Drosophila melanogaster: one gene and its partner. The protein of the gene in region 1 interacts with the protein of each later gene in a pairwise test. Each region holds a gene or a part of one and is shown in the gene's direction. Other genes may lie near its edges. The genes, in order: mEFTs and ergic53.

Region 1 (4,272 bases):
CCTGCCTGCCTGCCGCCTGCCTCCCTTTTTACAATGCGCACAATTTACGTGGCACTTGGTGCGGGTGTAATTTATTTTAATTAAAAAATTTGAATTTCCCACACGCTCGGAAGTTTCTAACTTTAAATTCCCGCCCTTCGCTTGCATTGGTTTTTCAACTTTGTCGAACCAAACAACGCATGCATTTCAATATCAATTACGCTACTCTGATTTTGCCTCTCAAAATCCATTTGGCTTAAGAGAAGTTGCAATTTCATCTGCATTGCTGTATTTTTTTCTTTTTTTTTTTTGCATAGAAAAAGCTAACGAAAAACGTGAAAAATGTTTCTATATTCTGCCTGGATTATACACTTTTAACGGATCAAAAGTTTCATTTGCCATTTATCGAATAGAAATCGAAGACTTTTATCGAATTTGACATTAGCATCATGGAGACTCACCGATAGCGCCAAAAGTTCGTCATGGATTGCACCTCCCGCCGCTCGGCGGTGTCGTATTTGCCACCCACGCCCTCCTTGGTTAGGCGATCGAGGACCGTGTGCCGCAGGACGAAGTCCACAACGGCCTTCTTCATGGCGAACACGTAGTCCGCCCGGACTTCGGCTATGTTTTCATTGAGTGCCGTCTGCCACTTGTAGAGCAGTGGTGGCACAAGATCGGTTATCCTGCAGACGGAAAGCAGTTAGCAAAAAAGCAGATACATTTGAAAGTGTTCAGTGGAACGCACCTCTTGAGGATCTTCTTGCTCAACGGCGACACGTGAATGGTGTCAATGCCATGCTTGATGTAATAGTAATATCGCAGAATCTCGCGCTCCTCCTGGTCGGGAAAGGGTACGGCGCACTGGGCGGCCAGCTCGGGATCCTGGTCGTCGTCCATGTGCAGGATGAGCTCCACCAGCTTGCGGCGGAAGTGCTCCCGCTCCAGTCGCATGGTCATGTAGTTGGCCTTGGCCACGCCGCTCTCACGCTTCTTCTGGCGTTTCTTCTGCTGTTTCTTCGCGCAGAGTATGTTGTCCGGCAGGTCGGATTTCATCTTGCCGTCCAGCAGGGAGCTGGCGCATTCCGGCATGTTCAGTTCGTACCACAGGCGACGCGACTTGTACTCCGGATTGGCCTTTGACTGCAGGATGCTCTGCAGCACATCCGGCTTGGGTCGCGTGTACAGCATCTTCGACTTCTCGCATAGGCGGCGACCGCCGCATATGGACGTGAAGCTGGGGATGCTGAACTCCCGATTCGGATTCTGTCTGCCCTGCATGTTGAAGCCTGAAATCGGTTCAACGTTCGAATCAAAATGTGACTACAGAAAATGAAAATTGTTTTCAATAATTGTTTTTGAAACATAAAACGATTGTATCCCGCCGAGTTATTAATCAAAGTACTATTTAAAGTAAAAAAAAACACTAAAATATTAATTAAGAAAATAACTACGTGCGCCAGAATTAAAAAAAAAACTATTTATTAGGTTTAAGTTTTAAATATTTGGTTTCAATCCATTTCGAATCGGTTGTAACCGGTAATAGGTTGTAACATCCACTAAACGTCATTTGGCCAACGATAGCGTCGCCACTATCGATAGTCGCTTCGCAACAGCTGTTCTCCGCACACGCGCCCTACCGGCTTTTTTGCCATCCCTAACAGCCGAATTGTGCAACACGGAAAATTGTCAAAATTTTCAGTTTCAAAATTAATTGCTCGAATTAAGCACACAGAAAAGCCGAAAACTAAACTATCGACGCTTACCAGTCGTTCACCTATCGAGGCACCACACTCGCTTTGGATTTATTCGCGCCGCAACGCGATTAATTTTTCTTGAACCGAAGCGAACATACGAAGGAGTTGAAAACAAATGCAAATCTCACACAGGCTTTTCCGTTGTTTAGAATGAATTGATTTTCCGGGCAACTACTACATAGCGACAGGTCGGAAAACGGAAAAACAAACAAGCCGGCGAGTTGCCCTTGACAGCAGGCAAAGAGCAACAATTCAATTCGCACACAAATCACGCTAGAAATCATTTTGGCCTCCCAGTAAATTTCGGAAATTTTTTGGAAAAATGCTGCTACAAAGGTTTTTCACACGCGCACTTCACTCCACGCGGCAGCTTTATGCCGGCTCTGGCGGATCCGGTGGCCTGGAGAAGAGTGCCCTGGCGGCGCTGAGGAAGAAAACCGGATACACCTTCGCCAATTGCAAGAAGGCGCTGGAGAAGCACAACAACGACGTCGGATTGGTGGGTAGTTGGCTAATAGTTTTATTGCAAGCGGTGCAGTGAGCTTTCCATTACAAAGAGCACGAAATGGGGATCTCTACATTTTGAAAAATTGCTGATTTTTCTATATTATTATGTAATATATATAGCTGCACCGCATGCAAACTCCTTTGTGATCAAAACACATCTGTGCTAATCAACTCACCTTGCCATCATCTCGCTCTTGCAGGCTGAAAAGTGGCTGCACGAGCAGGCCCAGACCCTCGGCTGGTCGAAGGCCACCAAGGTCGCAGATCGAGCCACTGCACATGGTCTGATTGGAGTGCTCATCCGCGGAAACCGGGGCGCCATGGTCGAGCTGAATTGCGAGACGGATTTCGTAGCCAGGAACGATACCTTCAAGCGGTTCGTTGACCACGTCGCCTGCATGTGTCTGCAATACACGGACTTGACGGACTTCGATGGAGATCTGTGGAAGGTGAGCGAGATTTTTATGGGAAATGTACACAATATTTGGATCAGAACCGGTTTTGCATCCATTCCTAAAGAAATTGCTAATTAAAGAATGTGCATATCCTTTCAGCTTGGCTTTGATGCGGACGCCCTCAGAAACTTGCGCACGGAGGAGGGACGCACGTTGGGCGACCACCTGGCTCTGCTGATCGGCGCCATCGGGGAGAATGCCACCATCCGGCGCGCATTGTGCTTTAAGGCTAACAACGACCTGAAGCTGGTGGGCTACGCCCATCCCGCACCCACCAATGTGGGCACCACGGAAGGCATCACCCAGGTGGGCAAGTACGGAGCGATCGTAGCCTACCGATCCACGCACCCCCTGCTGGACTTTGAGTTTCACAAGAGCATTTGCCAGCAAATCGTGGGCATGAAGCCGACAAAGATCGGCGAATATGACAAGGACAAGCCGGCGGAGAACAAGGACGATGAGACGTGCCTGATTCACCAGGAGTATCTGCTCGATGCGGACAAGACGGTGGGCGAGGCTTTGCAGGAGCACAACTGCGAGATCGTCGACTACCATCGCTTCGAGTGCGGAGAGCACACGGAACGCAGCCTGGAGGCGATCATTCGCTCGCAGCACCAGAGCAGCAATTAACTAGCCATTAAGCAGAGTCTAGAACACTAAATTGTTATTAGCACAACAGCTGAAGATTGTTAAAACCGAAATTCTGGACAATGTTCTGGTCAAAATTTGCATGTAAAACAAGTAAAACAACCATTACGATCAGATCTCCACCTCTCTTATTTGAATACGCCATACCCCATGAGTCATGGCAAAAAATTGGGGTGACCAAGGAGAATGCGCCTGCGCAGAACGGGAAGCACGCTTGAGCGGCTTCCGGTCGCTGAAGCAGTGGAACCCGCGGGAAGAACGGGCGAATGGACAACGCCAGCAGAATGAACTGTTTACAAACGTGTTTTTTTGTTCTGCTTCCCGTAATTACCCACTTGGTCATGCGATAGCCCAAAAGAAAGAGCAAAAAGAAAGGTTTTTAGCTTTGGGGGCAAAGGCAAAAACCAAGTGAGGGTTGGGTATGCCACTTGCTTGGGGCTCATGTTAAGGAAATGGGAGTACGAGTAGATTTGGCCAGGGAGGAAAATCAAAATAGAAGAAATGGTTTTCCAGCCCTAAGAAATTTGCAGCACTGAAATATTAGCTACTAAGTAGGCCTGTCAAATAAATCCCTTTCATTATCAACCATCGATCGTCGTTAGAGATTCAATCGCCAAAATGGACTACCTGGACATTGAATCCTTCCGCTCCAGGTACAGCGACATAACCGTCACGGCCGTGCCATCGCGCCCCAAGGCGGACGAGGAGCCAGCAATGGACACCAACCAGGAGCTAGCAATCAAGACGCATGTGCCACAAGTGGAGATAACGAGGGTGAGTGGAGCCGCTTCTGCTGGCAGTAGCTCCACTGCGAATGCAGCGATGATGCTGCGCAACAGGCAGCAGACAAACAGCGCCGCACTTGCCTACGCCAACGAGTACAAGGAGGTGATGGCCAAACTGGAGTACACCAAGTACATGCAGGC
Region 2 (5,721 bases), on another chromosome or scaffold:
TCTGATGAGCGCGTTCGGCACAGCGGGAGCCGCATCACACCAGCACGCGCACTAATAACATAAGTGAAATTGTAACCAACCGCAGCGAATCTTGTAGCGTATTATGTGAATTGCAGCGAATCTTGTGTATTAACTGCATTTTTTCCGCCAAGCCTATAGAACCTCTTGAATTATTATTTTTTGTATAATTTCATTACATTGTTGTTTACATTATTAGTTCACAGAGTTAGACAAAACAGAACCACAGACACAGCCGGTTGGCGCTTATCAAACGCATTTGTTATCCAGTTTATGAAACACACAACCTCACACCCACACACAAGCGACGCAATTCATCAAACTCGTTTTATTTTCGTTCCTAATTTTGCTATTGAACTGCGTTCGAATCCATTTCACACCCAATTTAATGTAAGATGTCTTGAAATTGGCTAGGTTATAAAGTGATCTTGAATTTAGATGAAAACATTTGAAAAGCATGCCGTGATGCTGTCAAATGAGAAAAGGAAGTAACAAAAAATGGATTGGATCTGGATCCCACAATCCTCTAATTACTGATCTTATACACGAAAGAGAACCTAAAAATTACGATATATTATATATAAATATACATATATATTGTAGGATATGTATACATACATATACTTTTTGTATTTTGTAGTCTAGAGTGCGCACGTTTACTTTATGCGAGTTTAACATTCTAAACCCAAAATAAAGGTATGTCCACCGCTGTTATGATTTTCTACAGTACTTAACGACTTGAACGCATATTTCCTCTTTCGGGAAATGTACACAAAACCCATTTAAGCTTAATTTATTATCGTATTTGTAATAAATTGAAAAGATTATTATATTGCACCATCATGCATAATTTAGATTTTCGCTACACTGTAGCGCCTTCGTTTAATTATAATTTTGTAATAAATCAAGCTAAAACAAAGACTTTGATTTTGTTTTAATCGATTTGAGTTTTTCTTTTGATCGCGCACAGAACTAACACGAAAGTGATTGTGATTCAAAATAAGTAACTAACATTTGTAAAATGGCGAAACTTGCGGCACGATCGCCCCTAATGACTATCCCCCACACACCGATCTGCACACAAAGCTATCACTTGTGTAAACTGAGCAACTAACAATATTTTATGAAGCCCACACTATGTGCTACCGAGGCATTAAAACCTATAATAATTCTAGCTGTAAGCTCTACGAAAACTACAAACGGTAGGAAATCAGAAACAAAGAATAAAGATGTAAACATATATACACACACTGTGCTAACTGTGCTAAAGGAATTTTGGAGATATGGATGTAATACTACTTTGGTGATATCACGCAAAAGGCAATTGAAACAACTAACGAAATAATTTTACAATAACGTATTGATAAACATGTATCTATGTAAGCACATGCGAATGGCGCGTATTTTGCTATATTTATGTTTATTTTCTAACGGGACGTAAACACTTTAAATTTTCAAAATAAATGTTTTTCCACCTCAACATCATAAAGTGATAACAAGATCTTTTGAATTTGGTGGGCATTTGCGATATCGATATAAAATCTACCGAAATCGATAGCGATTGTATTGTCGCTGCCTGAATATTTTTTAGATCACTTGGTTCTTGTTTCTTAGAATGCATGGAAAAACTTTTATCTTATAGAATTTTAAATTGTGATCTAAGCTGAAGTTAATTGTTATAGGATGGCTGGTTTTATTTAAGTTCAACATTTATATACGAAGGATGGCCTAAATAAATGTTCTAATCAATTTATATTATATTACCTTAATTGTTAATGGTAGACAATACATAAAATAATATTTGATTTTAAATTATACAATGCTTTTAGAACATCCAGTGCGATACCACCGCCTATCGGTGCCGGCTGGTTATCGATATCATCAGTTTGCACCATCGTCGCCCACCCACCACTAGTTGTCAACATATAATTGCAAAGATGCGGCCCACATTCCTGGCCATTTTGTGCTTCCTGGCGTGGAATCCCAGCTCCGAGGCGACCGGCAATCTGAGTCCTGGAGCCGTGGGCGTGCACCGTCGCTTCGAGTACAAGTACTCGTTCAAGCCGCCGTATTTGGCACAGAAAGACGGCACCGTGCCGTTTTGGGAGTACGGGGGAAGTGAGTACGAGTGGAAGACGCAGCTCCACGTCAGTTGTTTTGGCCCACTCGCTGCTGGTCTGCGGCCATGGGTGCGAGCGAGATGGCGCGAGGCGGCCAAGTGTACACGCAGGCACTTTGTTTGGATGTCGTTTTGACCACGGTTTCGGGTGTTTCTATAGCCACAACTTGTTGCTCCTCATTTCAGATGCCATCGCCAGTTCGGAAAGTGTGCGCGTGGCGCCATCGCTGCGCTCACAGAAGGGTGCCATCTGGACAAAGTCACAGACGAACTTCGACTGGTGGGACGTGGAGATCGTGTTCCGGGTGACGGGACGTGGCAGGATCGGAGCCGATGGATTGGCCTTCTGGTACACCACGGAAAAGGGTGACTACAATGGGCCTGTGTTCGGATCCTCGGACCGCTGGAATGGTCTGGCCATCATGTTCGATTCCTTCGATAATGACAACAAGCACAACAATCCTTACATCAGTGCCGTGCTCAATGATGGCACCAAGCTGTATGACCATGCCGAAGATGGAACCACTCAGCTCCTGAGCGGTTGCCTCAGGGATTTCCGTAACAAGCCCTTCCCTACACGGGCGCGAATCGAGTACTACAACAACGTGCTTACCGTCATGATCCACAACGGAATGTCCAACAACAACGATGACTACGAGCTGTGTCTGAGAGCGGATGGCGTCAATCTGCCCAAGAACGGCTACTTTGGCATTTCCGCCGCCACGGGCGGTCTGGCCGATGACCACGATGTGTTCCATTTCCTGACCACGTCGTTGCATGCCGCTGGACAAGTTCAGGAGCAGCCCAAGGTGGAAAACCAGGAGAAGCTTACGCAAGAGTACAAGGAATACCAAGATAAACTGGAGAAACAGAAGCAGGAGTACAAGAAGGACCATCCCGACGAGGTAATTGCCACGCAGCCAGCTGATAAAGATGTCTTATCGCTAGTTTTGATAATCAACTTTCGTATAATCCCACAGCACAAAGACGAGGAGGACTGGGAGGAGTTCTACGAGTCGGAGAACCAGCGTGAGCTGCGTCAGATCTGGCAGGGTCAGAGCCAAATTGCCGATCACCTACGCGAACTTTCCCGCAAAGTGGATGAGATTATTGGCCGCCAGGAGACCACGCTGTCGCTGGTCTCACGTAATGCTGGACAGGCTCTGCCTCCGCCCGCCGCCGGCGGAGTGCCACAGCAACAGCTGCCCGTTGGCGCAGTCAGCAGGAGCGATGTAGATCTTCTGCTCACTAATCAGAACATGCTGCTCAGTTCCATCCGCGAGATTCGTCAACTGGTTGGCGATATCAATGTGCGCACTGATAACATTCAAACGAATCAGAAGCATGCGCCCACAGCACAAATCCAATCCACCGGCTATGATGTACAAACGCTCATCGCCGAGATGCGCGATGGCATGAATCAGGTCAAGCAGGGCATCACCCACGTGGGCCAAAGGTGAGGAATACGCTCAAAGTCTATTTTAAGTTTCCTAAAGCTGTTGTCATCGAAGTTATTCTGAGCTCGAATTAATTTTAACCTTTTCAGCCATATTTATACTAATTTTTCGTATTCCACATTATGAAATTAGAGTTTTAACAAGTTTGATTCAGAGGAACATGTTTATGAGTTTTAGACTATTATACTTTATTGTCATCTTTTAAGTACCTCCTTGATACTCAATATGCATTCCCTTACCTTGCAGATTGGCAGCGCCACAGGGAGCAGCGCAGGTGGCCAATTGTCCCACGGGCAATTGCGTTGGAGTCACATTGTTCCTAAGCGTAACTGTTGTGCAACTGCTGCTAGTCTTCATCTACAACGTCTTCAAGTGAGTTCATGGAATCTTTAAGCGTGGATTCGAAACTAAACAATCTAACTTATTATTCCTTGCAGAAACCGCAGCGAAGCACAGGCGAAAAAGTTCTATTAGGCGAATTCGCGACTTATTGGGATCGTAACGAATAACAAACACACAAGCATACACCCACAGAAATCACGAGGAAACAGATTCGCACACCTGACTAGGCAGCAACTAAATTTAGTTAAAATGAAAGATTTAAGACTTCAGCGTAGCATGCTCTACCATTATGTGTAACTGTTTGTTTTTTAAATAGAAGTCTGTTTAAGAAGTCAGGTCACGAATACAAACTCAAGTCGTTACTTAATCAAAGCAAGAACAAGAAATTTGATCAATGATGTATGCCTCATGACAATGCCACGCAATACAAAACGAAGAAACCGTCGAAGAAGCCACAAGACAAACTTCCCTTAGTAATAGCCAACAGAAGATGTTTCATATTTGTTTTAGCAAGTCAAGTCGAAAGTTTCACTCCATTCTCAACTCTGCATATCATGTGTGCAGGCATTTATAAGAAGCACAAGAAAATCTATCTAAAAAAAAATAAAAATAAAAATGGCAAAATCTATATAAGTACGAAAATTCCGTAAACGTAGCAAATTTTTGTAATATCTTGTATACTTTAGAGTTGAGATGAATCCATCAGGCTCGGCTCTTGAAACTGAATTGGCAACATAAATCTTTTTTCCCATTTTCATGCGCCAAATGGTCAACAAAGCTAGTTAGCCAGCATTTTTGTTATTACGCCAGAAAGTGAATTAATTTAATAATTATGATGAACTGTCTCACTAAGTTTTTGTTCGGTTCGCATCGTCACTGGTGCGATGTAAGGAAGTTTTCTACTGAATAATCTTAATATACATACTGATAAATTATAAAACAATTGAAGTGAAGTGTGTTTTTATATATGTTGTCCATTCCAGTCTCGATAGAAATGTTTAAAGTGAAAATAAAAATCAATTTATAGAAAAATCTATCTCCAACTGTTCAACTTGATAGTTTTAATCTGCGTCCTCATTTTATTTTTATACTTTTCCGAATGCGATATTATTTTCGCTGATGTCGACAGAGGAAAAAGTTTATTTCTTGAAAAGTCCTCGCAAGCATAAACTAGAATCCCTGTCAGTTGCCCATCCCCATCTTCATCCTCCCATCGATGACAATGCGGCAAAAATGGCGCCACTTGGTCGCCAGAATGCGTGGGGCTGGGGAACGAGTTGGGTTCTGGTGAACTTTGGCCATAAAATGTAACTGCCAATGGTGGCATTGTGGGCAGGTCCTCTGTGGTCTGAGTACCCATTCCATCGCATTGGGGAAAATCCCAGGAAAAGCACAGCCAAAGATAGATGGACAGAAGCCAACGGCAGTCGCGGCCCATGCAATAAATTCTCTACGGGATCGGGGAATGGGTTACACAGTTCTGGTGTGCGGTTGGATGGTAGCTTCGCCTATGTGCTCCGTTTCCTATATACTTTCACTGCGCAGGAGCAGGACCAGTTTCCAAGTGGTTTGGAAGGGGGACTTGAACGGCTATTAACTTTTTATAACAGCCAATCGGCATGAGGCTTGCAAACAGAGAAAATGGTTTCGTGCCGTTGGGTTTTTCCAGCAGGGATGGGATGTGTGCACTGCAACAAAACTGACTTCATAGTATACGATTTACACACGGCAAACTAAACTAAATCATGATCTAGTACATGTTTTTTAAGTTCGTACTTATAGTTA

The links.
Region 2: the proteins of mEFTs (region 1) and ergic53 interact in a two-hybrid assay, tested with the Drosophila melanogaster proteins (one large-scale study listed by BioGRID).

What each region holds. Positions count from the first base shown.
Region 1 is NT_033779.5:17,498,455-17,502,726, reverse strand, and holds mEFTs (mitochondrial translation elongation factor Ts), read left to right. Parts: upstream 1-1,620; 5' UTR 1,621-2,058; coding exon 2,059-2,235; intron 2,236-2,443; coding exon 2,444-2,692; intron 2,693-2,797; coding exon 2,798-3,328; 3' UTR 3,329-3,459; downstream 3,460-4,272. Other genes in the region: Dhc36C (dynein heavy chain at 36C), read right to left, coding at 441-665, 728-1,260; CG15142 (uncharacterized protein), read left to right, coding at 3,965-4,272. UniProt on the Drosophila melanogaster protein: Associates with the EF-Tu.GDP complex and induces the exchange of GDP to GTP. It remains bound to the aminoacyl-tRNA.EF-Tu.GTP complex up to the GTP hydrolysis stage on the ribosome.
Region 2 is NT_037436.4:8,533,051-8,538,771, forward strand, and holds ergic53 (ergic53), read left to right. Parts: upstream 1-1,926; 5' UTR 1,927-1,955; coding exon 1,956-2,136; intron 2,137-2,323; coding exon 2,324-3,042; intron 3,043-3,117; coding exon 3,118-3,593; intron 3,594-3,840; coding exon 3,841-3,966; intron 3,967-4,031; coding exon 4,032-4,068; 3' UTR 4,069-4,963; downstream 4,964-5,721. Other genes in the region: foi (fear-of-intimacy), read left to right, coding at 1-55.